Sus scrofa: one gene and its partners. The protein of the gene in region 1 purifies or fractionates together with the protein of each later gene. This does not show direct contact. Links are inferred from orthologs where the notes say so. Each region holds a gene or a part of one and is shown on either strand. Other genes may lie near its edges.

The links. Proteins that work in one complex are often made in the same cells at the same time.
Region 2: the proteins of CHCHD4 (region 1) and SSNA1 purify together in Homo sapiens (co-immunoprecipitation; 3 studies listed by BioGRID and IntAct, with this or other methods). This does not show direct contact. The link is inferred for Sus scrofa from reciprocal best matches to the Homo sapiens genes CHCHD4 and SSNA1.
Region 3: the proteins of CHCHD4 (region 1) and GFER purify together in Homo sapiens (co-immunoprecipitation; 3 studies listed by BioGRID and IntAct, with this or other methods). This does not show direct contact. The link is inferred for Sus scrofa from reciprocal best matches to the Homo sapiens genes CHCHD4 and GFER.

What each region holds. Positions count from the first base shown.
Region 1 is NC_010455.5:70,415,705-70,420,662, forward strand, and holds the start of CHCHD4 (mitochondrial intermembrane space import and assembly protein 40), read left to right. Parts: upstream 1-1,621; 5' UTR 1,622-1,793; coding exon 1,794-1,815; intron 1,816-4,958. Other genes in the region: TMEM43 (transmembrane protein 43), read right to left, coding at 1,273-1,284.
Region 2 is NW_018084833.1:709,889-714,238, forward strand, and holds SSNA1 (Sjoegren syndrome nuclear autoantigen 1), read right to left. Parts: upstream 2,615-4,350; 5' UTR 2,529-2,614; coding exon 2,477-2,528; intron 1,999-2,476; coding exon 1,799-1,998; intron 1,534-1,798; coding exon 1,426-1,533; 3' UTR 997-1,425; downstream 1-996. Other genes in the region: ANAPC2 (anaphase-promoting complex subunit 2), read left to right, coding at 2,679-2,783, 3,060-3,682. UniProt on the Homo sapiens protein: Microtubule-binding protein which stabilizes dynamic microtubules by slowing growth and shrinkage at both plus and minus ends and serves as a sensor of microtubule damage, protecting microtubules from the microtubule-severing enzyme SPAST.
Region 3 is NC_010445.4:39,981,156-39,986,141, reverse strand, and holds GFER (FAD-linked sulfhydryl oxidase ALR), read left to right. Parts: upstream 1-1,690; 5' UTR 1,691-1,829; coding exon 1,830-2,087; intron 2,088-2,452; coding exon 2,453-2,649; intron 2,650-3,503; coding exon 3,504-3,666; 3' UTR 3,667-4,204; downstream 4,205-4,986.

The DNA.
Region 1 (4,958 bases):
TTAAATTTCAGGTTAACTGATCCTATGAGGAAACATAAACCTCAAGAGATTAAGACCACTTGTCAGCCCGACTCCAAAGCCTGCTACGCTCACCCAAGATGTAGCCTGCCAGGCTGGCTCTGCAACCCTGGGCAGGGCCTTTCTCTGCTGGGAAAGTTCCCTATCTGTAAAGTGGTCATTATGGAGGGGGGGCTGGCGGTCTCCTGACTGCGCTCTGCCGAGGGAAGACCCTGGGTCTCCCGGACCACCTCTGAGGCTTTTCTAGGTGCTTTTTCAAAGGCTTCTTGGCCTCCCAGACAATGCAAACTCAGGCAAAGTGTGCTGGGGCTGTGGGTGAGGCAAACCCTGGCTTCTCAGGGGGTGTGGAAGGCAGAGAGGACCTTGGGGACAGAGGAAGGGCCTGTTAAGAGGGTGTGAAAGGCCAAGAGAGAGAGTGGTTAGGACATGCCACCAAAGCAGGAGGGAGGGAGTGCCTCAGCTGGCTGGGCTCCGAGCTGGCACCAGAGGCACTTTTGCAGAAGACAGGAACATGAGTCACCAGCTTCTCCCACACCCAGCACCCTGTTGGCAGGTGCCCCTCGGTTTGTTGAATGAATGTGGGGCTTAAATAGAAAGGTTCCTCAGAAAAGCAGGGAGAAAAGCAGCTGCCTTTCCAAGGGCACCGCCCTCAGCCAGGGCCTTTCCAACCAAGCCAAAGCCAGGAAGACGAGGGGCCAGCAGTAGGGAAATGCTCCCTCTCCCAGTCATGCTAACTCCTCTGCTCCAAACTAGTCTGCCCCTCTGCACAACATCAGAGCCTTGGTTTACATACTCCCTGGAGCGGGGACCTCAGTGCCTGCTAGGACAGTGCGTTTCTGGACAGCTTCACCAGGGCGATATCTGCCTCCCCACACACCCCATGGGGGACTCCTGTCTGAAGTCCCGTCCAACTCTCAAGTCCGCAAATGTGAGAATCCCAAAGGCGCAGGCGGGAACCGAGAAGGAAAGAAGGAGCTGCGCGGAGGCGCCGCACATAAGCGGACCCGGAGACAGAGCCACACCTCCAGAGGTTGCGTCTCTACCACCACGCGCCCCCGAGGAGGACGTGGACCACCGGGTGCTGACCGCACGTACGGACGACCTGGCTGCCCTGCCGGAAGGAGCGGACCCGGGAGCGAGAGGGAGGAAGGGCCGGCTGCACGGAGGCGGTTAGCCGCACAAGGGGCTACGGCGGGCGGCCGGGAGAGTGGACGAGGCAGCCTGGGTGTGGCCGGCGAAGCCGGGGACACTCACGTTCGCAGCCATGGCAGGATCCGGTCACCGCCCGCCTCACTCGGCTCAGCAAGAAAACGGACTTACGGCTGCACCACGGAATCCCGCCACCTCTCGACAGCCAGATGGCGGCCAAAAGGCGCGGGAAGCCCGGAGCCCTAGGATGCGCTACAGAGCAACGCCCCGCAAGCCGCGGTTTTTCTGCTCTCGCCCGCCGCGCCTCCTCCTGGGAAACGTAGTCTGGTGCCCTCTCCGGAAGTTGCAACCTACCCGGTACCTCACTGGTGCACCTGCGCATTGCAGGTCATTCTGGGAATTGCAGTTCCTTCTGTCTAGGGAGTTGCTCGGCGGCGCGCGGCCTGCTGGGAAATGTAGTTCCCGGTTGAGAAGGCCGGGCTAGGAGCTCCGAGGCAGGCGCGCGGAGGGCAGGCCTGGAGGGGGCGGGTCCGCACGGGCCTCCCAGCCGCCCGCCTCGCCGGGGAGAGGTCACGGCGTGAGGCAGCCACCGCGATCACCGCGAGGTTGGAGCGCCGGGCTGCACTATGGCCTACTGCCGGCAGGAAGGTAGGAGGGCGGGGTACCTAGAGACGGCCTACGAGGGCCTGCAGGGAACAGGCGGATTGTGCGGCCCCCGCGCCCCACCACTGGTGCGGAAGATAGTCCTCGGACCCTTGCGTCGGGTCTCCATCCCCGCTTTACAGATGGGCAGCGGGGAGAAGCGAGGCGGTCCAAGGTCACCGTGAGGCTCGAACCCGGACGTCTGAGGGACCACCACGTGAGAGAGCTCTTAAATTAGGCCTGGGGGTCGGAGGAGTGCGAGCGCGCTGCCGCTGGCTCCTAACGGAGAGTTTATAGGTATTAATTGTTACTATGGCGCTTACCCACACCACGTGTTCCGGTTTGCGCCGCCCGTCAACAGTCCTGGAAAGTCGCCCTCGGCGTGCTCTGTGCTGCGGCGTGGAGTACCGCCCGAGGGGACCGGTCAGGCGCTGGTGCGCCCTAAGCCAGGCCCTGTTCATTTCCCGAGAGTAAACAGCGACCCAGAGGTGACTAGGCTAATGCCATGATGCCGGCAAGTCCGGAAGCTGGGGTTGGACCCCCGCGGTCTGATTCCAGAGCTGCCCAGCCTGGTGACCAGTGGATTCCAGGGAGCCTTCCGTTGGGAAGACAACCCCCCAAAAAAACAAAACTAAATAGGTTTCTGTCTATGGTCTCTCTCCTTGTTACCTCTCCTGGAACCCCAGAAGTCTCCAGGCCAGGGGTTCGAGGGCCTCCGCGCACAACCGCTAACTGGCTCTTTGTCCCTGAGCTGTCACCCAGCCCCTCCAAGGCCCAGTGTTCAGTCTTGTAAAATGAGAAGTAGGCCTTCCTTCCTTCTCCACATATTCATGAAGCACCTTTTTAGTGCCAGGTGAGGGTGATGGTGAACACCTGAGACTTTAAAGCTCCAGAGAGAGCTGGAACTCTCCCTGAAATTCTTTAATGAATAGTCTAGCTCCCTCAGGTCATTGAGGGACCCTTAAGCCCAGAGATGGAGGTGATCTACCCAAGGTCATGCTTAGGTAGGAAAACAGCTCAATCTAAAATGCTAGGCCTTTCCCCCAGTACCCCATTCTGCTTCCAGAACCCTCCTTCCCTGGGTCATAAAGTCATAATACTCACGATGTCTCTAATGAGTGCTATTTTAATTGATTGATATTTAACTCTGCCTTGAGCAAAAGTCCTCTGCCCTCACCGCTTTGTTAGAGAGTAGGTCTCTTGTTTTTTATTGCCTTCTGAGTCTACTTTACTTCATCATTTAGCAATTTTTTTTTTTGAGCCTTGTGGGCTTAATGAGGCCATGCAGATAAACAGACCCTCCTTGTCCCTGAGGATTTCTGGAAGTCCAAGGCAGGTGTTTATCTACCACCAAATGGTAGGTCATATCTTTTCCTGGGTCAAAGATCTCTCTTAGTATTGGGGGTGAGAACTGAAAGCATTCATTTTTAGGCCTTCCCTAGTTTTTAATATTATCCATGCCATGGTCCCCTAAATCCTAAAAAACTTCTTTTCTACCTAGCAATTCTTTCTGTTTCCCATGGGACTTAGAGAAGTGATCCCAAACGCCTGATTGAGGGCTTGTGTGATGGAGCCCCCACCTGATCCGTCCCCAGCTGGTCTCTAATCACCCACTGCTGACCAGCCACACTGGCCTCAGCTGTTCCCTTTGCCTGGGTGCATCCTTCCTCCAGGTCTCTTCCCACGGCTGCCTCCTCATCCTTTAAGATTCAGCTTCTCAGTAAGGTCTTTCTTGACCCTTTGTGTCTTTCACTTCCTAAACTATGAAATTACCTGATTTGTTTTGGTCATCTTATTTCCTGTCTTCTAGCAGCATTTCCTGTCTTCTGAGAGCATTAGATGGGCCATACCCCTGGCACCTGGCACCTTTACCCAGTGAACCCGTGCATACGCTTTCCCTCTGTTCTAAGTGAATCACATTGACTTCAGGGGTGCCCTGCCCCTATCCCAGCCTTTGGAGTAAAGGCCTCAGCTGGGTGTTCAAGGTGTTGGGCAGTGTGGACCCAGACTAGCTCCCTGGCCATGGGTAGCACTGTTCTTTCTCTTCTAATGTTGACCCCGCTTCTGTTCAGCTAAACTTTATTGAGCACCTGTGAAGTACCAGCCACTGAGGCATGGCTTTGGTCATAGGTGGGCCATCTGCCCTCATGGTGTGGTGGGGGCTGGGGGGGGAACCTTCCTGGGTTGGATGTGCTGAGAGATTCTGATGTGTAAAGACCCACACGTGTCCTGGGGAAAATGAGACCACCCATCCAAGGGTTTTTTTCTCTAACCTGCTTCATGGTGATAACCTTTCTCTGCTGGGGCGGAGGTCTTCATGTTCGAACCCAGAGTTCAATTTCTCCATTCACGTCTTCAGCAAATACCGATTACCCACTATGTCTTGGGCACTGTTCTAGGCTCTGGAGGTGCTGCAATGAATGGAGCAGACATTTCAATTTCAGTGGGGGTGACAGGTGGTAAACAAATATGTAATTGTAAGGTGAGAAAAAGCAGGTAAATGGTGATGGGAAAGGATGAAGGAGGATGGCATCTGAGCAGGAGGTATGAAGGCAGGGAGAAGGTGGCTGAGAGGGGATCTCAGTGTGTTCCTAGGGGGCAGACAGCCTGTGCAAAGGCCCTGAGGTAGGCGTGTGCTCAGCACATTCAAGTAGAAGCAAGGAGATGCTGAGTGGAGGGAGAAGTGGGGAGAGGGGGTCATGAAGGTGAGGGATGCAGGTCCTTCTGGATGTGCTTGGAGGCAGAGCCAGCAGGATTGGATGAGGGAGGCATGAGAGGAAGATGGGAGTCGGGGACAGAGGCACAGAGTAAAACTGCAGAACTGGGGTGTCTTGGTGTCTGAATGCTCTGTCAGTCCTTCTGTCACCAGCCCCACCCTGAAGTCCTGCTTGCAGAGTGACCTGGGGCCTCCAATTCCCAGTCCTCCCAGGTGTGTGGATGGGGACTGCTCTTCTAGACCGCGCCTCCAGGGGCACTTTGGGGTCAGCTGTCTCCCATCTTTGAGGCAAGAGCAGTCCTCTGTTTTCCCCCTTTTGACATTGACATCTCAGCCTCCCATCTCTTCCAGATGAATGATTTTATGTCATTTGATGCCATTTAAAGTTACTGTGTTTTGGAGTTCCCGCTGTGGCCCAGTACGTTAAGATTCC
Region 2 (4,350 bases), on another chromosome or scaffold:
TCTGTGCCAGGGGGAGGTGGCCCTGGCAGTACCTTCAAACGTCAGTCCTCGTGACCCAGGCTCTCCCCACCCCGGCCGGGAGAGGGGCTCCCCTTGTCCCCAGAGGTGGCATAGTGGGGGCTGTGGCGGAGGCAGGGCTCTGGAACTGTGTGCCCAGGGGCTGGGGCTCTGGCAGTTTCCCTGAGGGGACAGGAGCCTGGGGTAGGCAGAGCTCAGAGGGCCTTGGCTTCTGCTTGGACTGGAAGGGTCCCTGCGCCACAGGCAGACCACTCCCCTGGGGCGGGGCCAGCAGGGAAATCGATGGGTTTAGAGAGGTGGCGGATGGAACTGCCCCCAGGGAGCAGGATGGCCGCCCTGGGGAGCCAGGCCACCCCGGTGCAGCAGCCAATGCAGGGCTTTTCCTCCTGGAGAGACACATCTGGGAGACGCCCCGGCCAGGCCTGGGCTGGAGGAAGGCACTTTCCTGGGAGCGGCGGGCCCAGCTTTCTCCAGACTCGGTCAACAACACGTGCTTCCCAACCTCCAACCTCCACCCCACCCCCAAAGGGACAGACAGGTGAAGAGAGAGGGACCCGGAGGGGACTCGGGATGAGAGCTGGGCCCCAGGCAGTGTGACCAGGGAGGGTGGGGCAGTCAGCAGTCAGAGCTGGGCTGCATCCCTGGCCGGGGGACCCGGCCCCAGGAAGAGTGTCTCCCTGCACCAGGCCGAGACCACGGCCCACGGCCAGAGTGCCTTCCCTGAAGCTGGGCTGGGTGCTGGGCTTGGGGAAGGGGTCAGCAGTTCTGAGGGGGAAGGTGGGCGACAAGCGTCTCGGGACATGCTTAGCGGCACCCCTAGCGGTCCCCAAGGCCAGCAAGGCCAGTCACAGGGAAAGTCATGCCAGGCCCTCTCCTCGCCCGCTCACAGAGGAGCCCCACTACAGCTGAGCAGGGGTTTGTGTTCCGGCTTAGGGTGGCCAGCAGCCCCACCCAGGACACAGGCGGCAGGGTGGCGTGTATCTTAACAAAGACAACCTTTATTGACGTTACGGCCCCAGGGTCAGCTCTGAGGTGAAGGAGGGCCCTGGCCCCTTCCCACTTGCCTGGGCACCTGCTGGCCAAGTGATAAGGTGAGGGTGACATGATGCCGAGACTAGAAGCGGGGTCTTCCCTGCAGCCCAGGGGTGTGGGGGGGCCCTCAGAGGCCGAGCAGAACTGACCGACCCAGAACCTGTGTGAGCACAGGGCCAGGACACCCAGCTGGTGGGCTGCAGCGAGGCCTTCCTTGTCACCCAGAGCCAGTGGTGGCTGGCAGCTGCCTCTCGGCACCCAGAACAAGGAGAGAAAGCAGCCGCTGCCGTGAAGAACAAAGAGGCCGTGAAGACTTGCTGGAGGCGAAGCCCTAGGTGGGCGCGGTGGAGGCGGGCCCCTCTGCCGGCGGCCTTGTCAGCTATCCTTGCCTCCACTGCTCTTCTGTTCTGAAGCTGTGGCCTTGGTCAGGTTCCCTGCTTCCCTCTTCAGAACGCTAAGCAGAGTCTGCGAGCTCTCCAGGATCTGGGAGCAGAAACGCCAGTGGTTACACCATCCCCCCTCTGGGAAGCTCCCACAGCCCTTCCCTGCCAGGGCCCTTTTCCTCCTGAGTCTACCCTACGCTCCCTGCAGAGTCGCTCTGGCTCCTGCTGGTCTTAGGGAGTTACGCAGGAAGAAGTACCGTCCAAGCCACGCTAGCAGCTGCTCTGTCACTCCACAGTGGGCCCTCGGCCTGCCTGTCGGTGGGCCCTTCTGGGACTTGTCCCAACATGCAGGCCCCAAGTCCCACCTTGAGGTAGGCGGCCTCTGTCTCCGCGATGGTCCGATCAAACTCGTTACGAGAGGCGATCTTTCGGGCCAGATTCTCGTTGACTCGGGCCAGCTTCTCGGTCAGCTGCCTCACTTCATTCTGCAGCCGCTGCTTCTCATCCTCCTCCTGCTGGATCTGTCGACACAACTCTTCCCGCTTCTGACACAGCTCCTCGATGCCTGGGGTGGGCCGAGAGGGGCAGGGGCTGTGGGCCCAGGGCAGGCAAGAAGGCACCGCCCCCCACCCCCCAACTCTGAAGCCCGCTGCTCGGTAGGAGAGAGAAAGGCAGCGGAGGACCGGCTGCCGGCTGGACCACCTTCCGCCCGAGCCAGGCCAGTGTCTTACGTCCCGGGGGACTCAGGGTTAAAGTAGGCACCGCACCAGAACCCTCGGCGCGGGGCTGGGAGGCCGTGCGTGCTCAAGCCGCTTGTCCTTCGCTCGCTCCACAGATACCAAGCGCCCGGGGCGGGCCCCACACCGGGGCTGTGCGTCGGGCAGGTCCGACGGCGCTGGCGCCGCCCGGACAGGAACAGCCGCTTACGGACTGTACAACACACTCGGCCGCGCGCTGCGAGCCGACCACCGCCCGGGCCCTGCGGGCCGGCGACGCCACGCCCTCCCCGCCAGCCCAGGGAGCCCCGCCGCGCGGCCGCGCACATTTGACCAGCTCGTTGTTGTAGTTCTGCAGCGCCGCGCCCTGCTGGGTCATGGTGGCCGTCCGGGGTCCCGGCCGCTCCAACCGCCGCTACCGCATCCCTGCCGGCGGGCCCGGATTACGTCACCGCCGCGCGCGCGCGCGCCCAGCCCTGCGTCATCTCCCCGCGCCACACGGGGCGGCTCTGGGAGCTGGTGGGCGCAGATGGCGGCGGCGGAGCAGCAGAACGACCCCGGGCCTGCCCAGGAGCTGCTGGTAGCGTGGAATACCGTGAGCACCGGGCTGGTGCCGCCGGCCGCACTGGGACTGGTGAGGCCCGAGAAGAGGGCGGCGGGCCCGCGTGGGGTGCCCAGGACCCTGCGCGGCCTCTCCTCGGGTTTCTACGGGTCCCTGTGCCGCTTTTCTCCAGACTCCCTCCTGGTTCGACAGCCCTTTCCGAGAGTCGGCCGTGCATCCCTGCGACGAAGCGCAGCGGCGTTTCCGTGGGCTCCCCTCCTCTCTGCCTTTCCCGCCTTTGCCTGCCAGTAACCGTCTTCTCCATCTCTGCGTGGTGTTTCCTTCCACTCACAGTTTTCTGTAATCCAGGCATCCTCCCGGACCAGCGGCGCGGTCCCTCCAAAGGAGGAGGAGCTCCGGGCGGCGGTGGAGGTTCTCAGGAGCCACGGACTGCACTCGGTCCTGGAGGAATGGTTCGTAGAGGTGCTCCAGAATGACCTGCAGGCCAGCATCGCCCTCGAGTTCTGGAATACCATCTCCCAGCGCGAGAACTGCGCGGACGAGCCCCAGTGCCTTCTGCTGCTCCTCGATGCTTTCGGTCTGCTGGAGAGCCGCCTGGATCCCTACCTGCGGAGTCTAGAGCTCCTGGAGAAGTGGACTCGCCTGGGCTTGCTCATGGGCACTGGTGCCCAGGGCCTTCGCGAAAAGGTCCACACCACCGTGCGGGGCGTCCTGTTCTTTTCCACCCCCAGACCTTTCCAGGAGATGATCCAGCGTCTCTATGGGCGCTTTTTGAGGGTATACATGCAGAGTAAGAGAAAAGGGGAAGGGGGCACAGATCCTGAACTGGAGGGGGAGTTGGACAGCAGGTACGCCCGTCGCCGGTACTACCGCCTTCTGCAGAGCCCGCTGTGCGCCGGGTGTGGCAGTGACAAGCAACAGTGCTGGTGCCGCCAGGCGCTGGAGCAGTTCCACCACCTCAGCCAAGTCCTGTGAGTACTTGCACCTGCGTTGCCTGTTCCTCCTGGCTCCTGCTTGCTCCTCTGGAGAGAGCTGGCGAGCCGGCTGGGGGCGGTCTCTGTCACCTGTCCTGGAAGTCAGGGACATGGCCACAGGAGGGGCTCCGGGAACATTGTGCTGGGAGTTTATGCCTTTCCACCTGGTCACAGGCGTGTTTGTCACTCACACTAGCTCAGGGTTTCACACGTTGCTTCCGTTAAGACCGACAGGATCCCAAATTTTCTGGGCCCTACAGCGCTCTGCTGTGCCTTCTGTAGCCTGTCGGGGTGGCGGTGGGGGAATGACGTTTATCCTGCCTGTACTCGCGAAAGATGGGCTTGCTGTTCTTCTGTCTTTAAGACAAGTTAGGAGATGAGCCCGACAGGCTGGGCGAACAGGTTGCTTTTGCGGCCTTTGAAAGGAGAGGACTTTGTTGGTGTCACAGCCAGGTCTTGTCGTGTGGACCCTCTGCTCTCAGTGGCCACTTGGGACAGTTTTGTTCCTTTCAGTGAAGGGGCAGCAGTGCAGCTTTAGGCTTTGGGCTGGACCGAGGTGTGGCCCATTACACAGAACCTGTACTTCTCGGGAGTCTTGCTGTCGCAGTCACGACATGCGTCGATGACTCAGGCAGCTGCAGTTATTTGTATGTGGCCAGAGTAGT
Region 3 (4,986 bases), on another chromosome or scaffold:
GGTGGCAGATGGAGCTCCCAGGTCATGGATCACATATGAGCTGCAGTCTCCACCTAAGCCGCAGCTGTGGCAATGCTGGATCTCTGACCCACTGTGACAGGCCAAAGATTGACCCCAAGTCCTAGGGCTCCCAAGACGCTGCCCATCCTGTCACACCACAGCGGGAGCACCAACAGAGGCCTATTTTTGCAAAGTGCCTTCAGTCTAGCTGTCACACTCTTGCCAGTCTCAGTGGGGGCCACTAGCCTGATAGGGTACAGGGTGGGACAGACCTGTTCCTGGGAAGAGAGAGAAGTTGGAGATGGGCAGTTTGCTCACACCAGGAACCTAAAAGGATGCTAAGCACTGCCCCCCCCCATGCCAACTGACAGCCCCTGCTCCACACCGCCAGCAATCTAGACGCCCTCCACTCCTCTCTCTCTATAACCCTACCCTGACGTCTCACCTGGACAACTGCAGCAGCCCCATCCTCCCCCAAAGCCTGTACTCCTCACTTGCTCCTGTGACATCCACTCCCCAGAGGCAGCTTGGCGACTGAGATCACACCAGAGTACCAGGCCCCAAATGTCCCAGCACATTCCCAGGGTCCTTGGAATAAATTGCCAGCGCCCATGGCCATTGATGAGGTCCCTGCTGGGCCCCTGGCCACCGCTGGATCTCTTCTGCCACCACCCTACCCAGGTCCTGTCCTGCTGGCCTTCCCACCCACACAAGAAGCAAAGATCCTCCTCGGCCTTGATTGCCCTTCTCAGTGATTCCTCATTCTTCAGGCCTCCGCCTAAGCGTCACCTCCTCAAGGAGGCCTCCCGCATTTACCTCGCCCCATTCATGCCCCCGAGCATTTATTAGTGTGACACCTTTTAGATTTTTGTTGTTTCCGTCTTGACCACACTGGATTATGGGTTGGGGAGGTCAGAAACTTTCGAATCTTTCTCCCGGCACCGCCCAGCGCCTAGAGCAGCTCTGAACAGATGAGGCACTACACAAATATTTGCGGAATGAATGAATGCACAGTTGGAAGCACAGGTATCCCTGAGGCCACTCCCGACGTGGGTTTAACCGCTTCAGGCAGGCTACAGGATTCGGGAGCGGGAGGGTCCGCTCCGTGCGCGCAGCCCAAACACGCACCGCCTCCTTTGCCGGCACCGCCTCACCCCGGGTTGCCAGTCACCCGTTGCCATGGCACCCGTCGCCAGGGCGGATCCGCAGGCTCAGCCCCGGCAGCATCGCCTCTGTGCGCTCACGGCCCCGCCCCATGTTGCCACAGCACCAAGCGCCAGCTCCCAGGACGCCCCCAGCCGAGGGCATAGGGCCTAGCAGCGGGCACGCGGGACGGTCAGAGCGGAGCGATGGGGGCATCGCGGGCCACGAAACGGACGTCGCCTCAGCCGCAGCCAGAGGCTACGGCACGGCCGCGCCGCTTCCACAACACGCTGGTCTTCTACTGGAGGAAGCGGGAGCGCCGCCACGGAGGACGCAAGTCGGGCTCGGGCCGCGGAACGAGGCCCAGGGCTGCGGCCAGGACTAGGATCTCCAACCCCGCACACACGCGGGCCCGGGCCGCCGACTCCAGCTCTGCTTCTTCCGGGTCGCGGGCCGCGGCCCCCGGCTCCGCCTCCACGCCGGACACCGGCCCAGGCCCCGCCCCCGACCCCGCCCCCGGCCCCAGCTCAGGCCCCGCGCCCGCGCCCGCGCCCGCGCCCGCGCCCGCGGCCCGGGCTCCCGGCTCCTGCGGCCGCGCCCTGGCGGCGGCGCGCGCCCTGGCCTGGAGACCGACTTGGAAGCCCATCTGGAGACCGAGCTGGCCCGGCAGGCATTGCGCGGGTAACATGGCGGCCCCCGGCGAGCGGGGCCGCTTTGGCGGGAACCTCTTCTCCTTCCTGCCCGGCGGCGCGCGCTCCGAGGTGGTGGATGACCTGGTGACGGACGCGCGCGGCCGGGGCGCCGGGCGGAGAGATGCCGCCGCTTCAGCCGGGATGCCCTCCCAAGCCCCGGCCTCGGATTCTCAGGTCGCCGAGGACGCCTCCCGGAGGCGGCCCTGCCGGGCCTGCGTGGACTTCAAGTCGTGGATGCGGACGCAGCAGAAGGTGCAGATGTCGCGTGGGGTTGGGGAGGCGCCTCCTTCCCGCAGAGGCCCGCGAGCCCTGCCGACTCCTAGCCCCGGCCCGCACACCATGTTGTCAAGCGCCCCGGGCAGAGTTCCCAAGACCCAGGCGGAGCACTCCTCCAGGCCCTAAGACTTTGCCCCCTTCCCCGGGGTTGAGGGGTGGCTGTCCCAAAGCCTAGCCCTTAAGGGAGGCCGGGCCTTTCGGCCCTTAGCCACTTGTTGGCCGGACCAGCCTCCTTAGGACTTAGGACAGACAGTAGGCCTCCGGCTAGGGCAGAAAAAATGGAGCTTTGTAGGTTTCCGGCGGGGGAACGGAGCTAACCCTTGGTCGGCCTCCTTCCACAGCGGGACAGCAAGTTTAGGGAAGATTGTCCTCCAGATCGCGAGGAACTCGGCCGCCACAGCTGGGCTGTACTCCACACCCTGGCTGCTTACTACCCCGACCTGCCCACCCCAGAACAGCAGCAAGATATGGCTCAGTTGGTAAATTTATTTTCCAAGTTTTACCCATGCGAGGAGTGTGCTGAAGACATAAGGAGGAGGTAAGTTGTGTGAGTCCTGGGTACCGCAGCCAGTCCCGCCGGGAGCCTGGGCCTGGCTGATGTCATAAAGGGAAGCCTAGAGAAATAAAGGCAGAGGTGGGAGAGGGTTGCCGAGAGCAGGGGCCAGCAGCAGATGAGGGATCTTGGATCATCTCCTTTCTCCTCGAGGGCCAAGCTGCCTGGGGCTTCTTCCGCCCCAGAACTCTGGGGAGCACTTCCCTCCTGAGATGCCTTGCTTAGCACTGCTGGAGGCTCTGGCAGGTGTGGAGGGCGCCGCTTTGCTACCTGCTGGAGCAGGACTGCCAATTTCAAGACCTTGGGAACTCACTGCTTTTGCTCCCGAGAGCCCCCTTTTCTCCATTGCGGAGCCCAAGAACTGTGGTGTGGCACCCATAGGCTGGGCTGGATTTGAGGGGCAGGGCAGCCCTTGCTGTTTGAAGCCTGGGCAGTTAGAACAAAGTCTCTTACTGAGCTGAGGCAGCAGGGCCGTGGGTGCTAAGAAGCAGATCTGGTGTTCAGTTATGCCTTTGTGCAGGTTCCATCCCTTCTGTACACTGCCTGGGGCCAAGGACGCAAGGGTGTGAGGCTTCCTGATTGTTTTGAGGCCATGAAGTCGAGGTCTGTGCCTTAATGTCTGGCCCAGGGTGCTTCTTTGAGTTTGCTGAGCTCCGCGGGTGAGGGTTTGAGCAGGCCCAGGTGTCTGGCAGGTCTTGCTGCTGCAGGGGCACTCCTGGTGTAGCCTCCCCCCGGCAAAGGTGCCAGCTCTCCTCCCTGAATTGGGCAGGCAAGGAGCTGGGGGGTGGGCACAGTGGGGGCACTGCCTGCCCCCATCCTCCGCGTGCTCCCACACACAGGATATGCCGGAACCAGCCAGACACACGCACCCGGGCACACTTCACCCAGTGGCTGTGCCGCCTGCACAACGAGGTGAACCGCAAGCTGGGCAAGCCGGAGTTTGACTGCTCGCAGGTGGACGAGCGCTGGCGAGACGGATGGAAGGACGGCTCCTGTGACTAGATGCCAGCCAGCCAGAGCATGTGCGCGGCCTGACCAGAGCGTGTGGGGCTCATTATTAAAAGTACATCAGAGCCAGAGCCTGTCTTGTCTCAGTTGGGTGGTCCCCAGACCCTGCCCATGGAGCCCTCTCTCAGGTTCAGAGTAGAAGTGGGGGTGCCCCCGACGGCCTCCCCCTCAACCCAGGCCCGAGGGCGCTGAAGGAGGCCAGGGCAGCCTAGGCTGTCCCTCCCTTTCCAGATTCGGCCTCCTGCTCACCTGACACCTGCTGCCAACTTAGGAAGGTGACCAGCCTGGCAGGGCTCCTCTGTCTTGCCAGGCCAGGCCCCTGTCCCCCACCGTGTAGCTAGGGACAGCTGGCATGGCTGCAGTGTCTTTAGCCCGGGGCCTGTGCGCTGCCAGTACTTCAGGAGAGAGGCCTGGGGGCTGAGCTCTGCTGCACACCTGCCGTGCCGCATGTGGCCTTGCTCAGCTGCACCAGGCCTGTCGAAGGCTTCTGTGGAGCTTGAGACCAAAATAAAATGCTGGAGAAGTGACTGAAGACCTGCCTTCGGTGTGTTTTGTGCTGGCGCTTGCGGTGATGGACGGGCCTGCCCTCGCTGCATGTAGTCTGCTGCCTCCTCCCATCTGAGTTCTGACTCCCGAGGAAGAGGGAGCTGTGCCATCGCAAGACTGGGCCAGGCTGTTCCGCGAACAGCAAGGAGGCCTCCTTTTTTTGTGTGTGTGTGTCTTTTTTTTTGTCTTTTTTTGCTGTTTCTTGGGCCGCTCCCGCGGCATATGGAGGTTCCCAGGCTAGGGGTCAAATCGGAGCTGTAGCCTCCAGCCCATGCCAGAGCCACAGCAACGTGGGATCTGAGCCGAGTCTGCAACCTACACCACAGCTTACGGCAATGCCGGATCGTTAACCCACTGAGCAAGGGCAGGGACCGAACCTGCAACCTCATGGTTCCTAGTTGGATTCGTTAACCACTGCGCCACGACGGGAACTCCAAGGAGGCCTCCTTGCTGGGTCTGGGGGAGGAGCAGAGAGGGGAGCGAGGTCACATGGCGGCAGGTCCTCAAGACCCCAGAAAGGATGTGCTTTTAACACCTAGCTCCCACGGAAGGGTGTGGAGCAGAGGAACGGCAAGAAGTGACTTTTGAAAGGTCTCTCTGGCTGTGGAGCTGGAATGAGGCAGGCGTGGGGGAGAGCAGGGAGGACAGGCACCCATGTGGCGGCCAAGAGTGAAGCTCTGCCCCAGTCACTGGAGGATGGAGTTGCCCAGTGTATCAGTGAGGTGCAGAAGGCTGTGAGCAAAGCAGGTTTGGGGGTGACCTGGACCC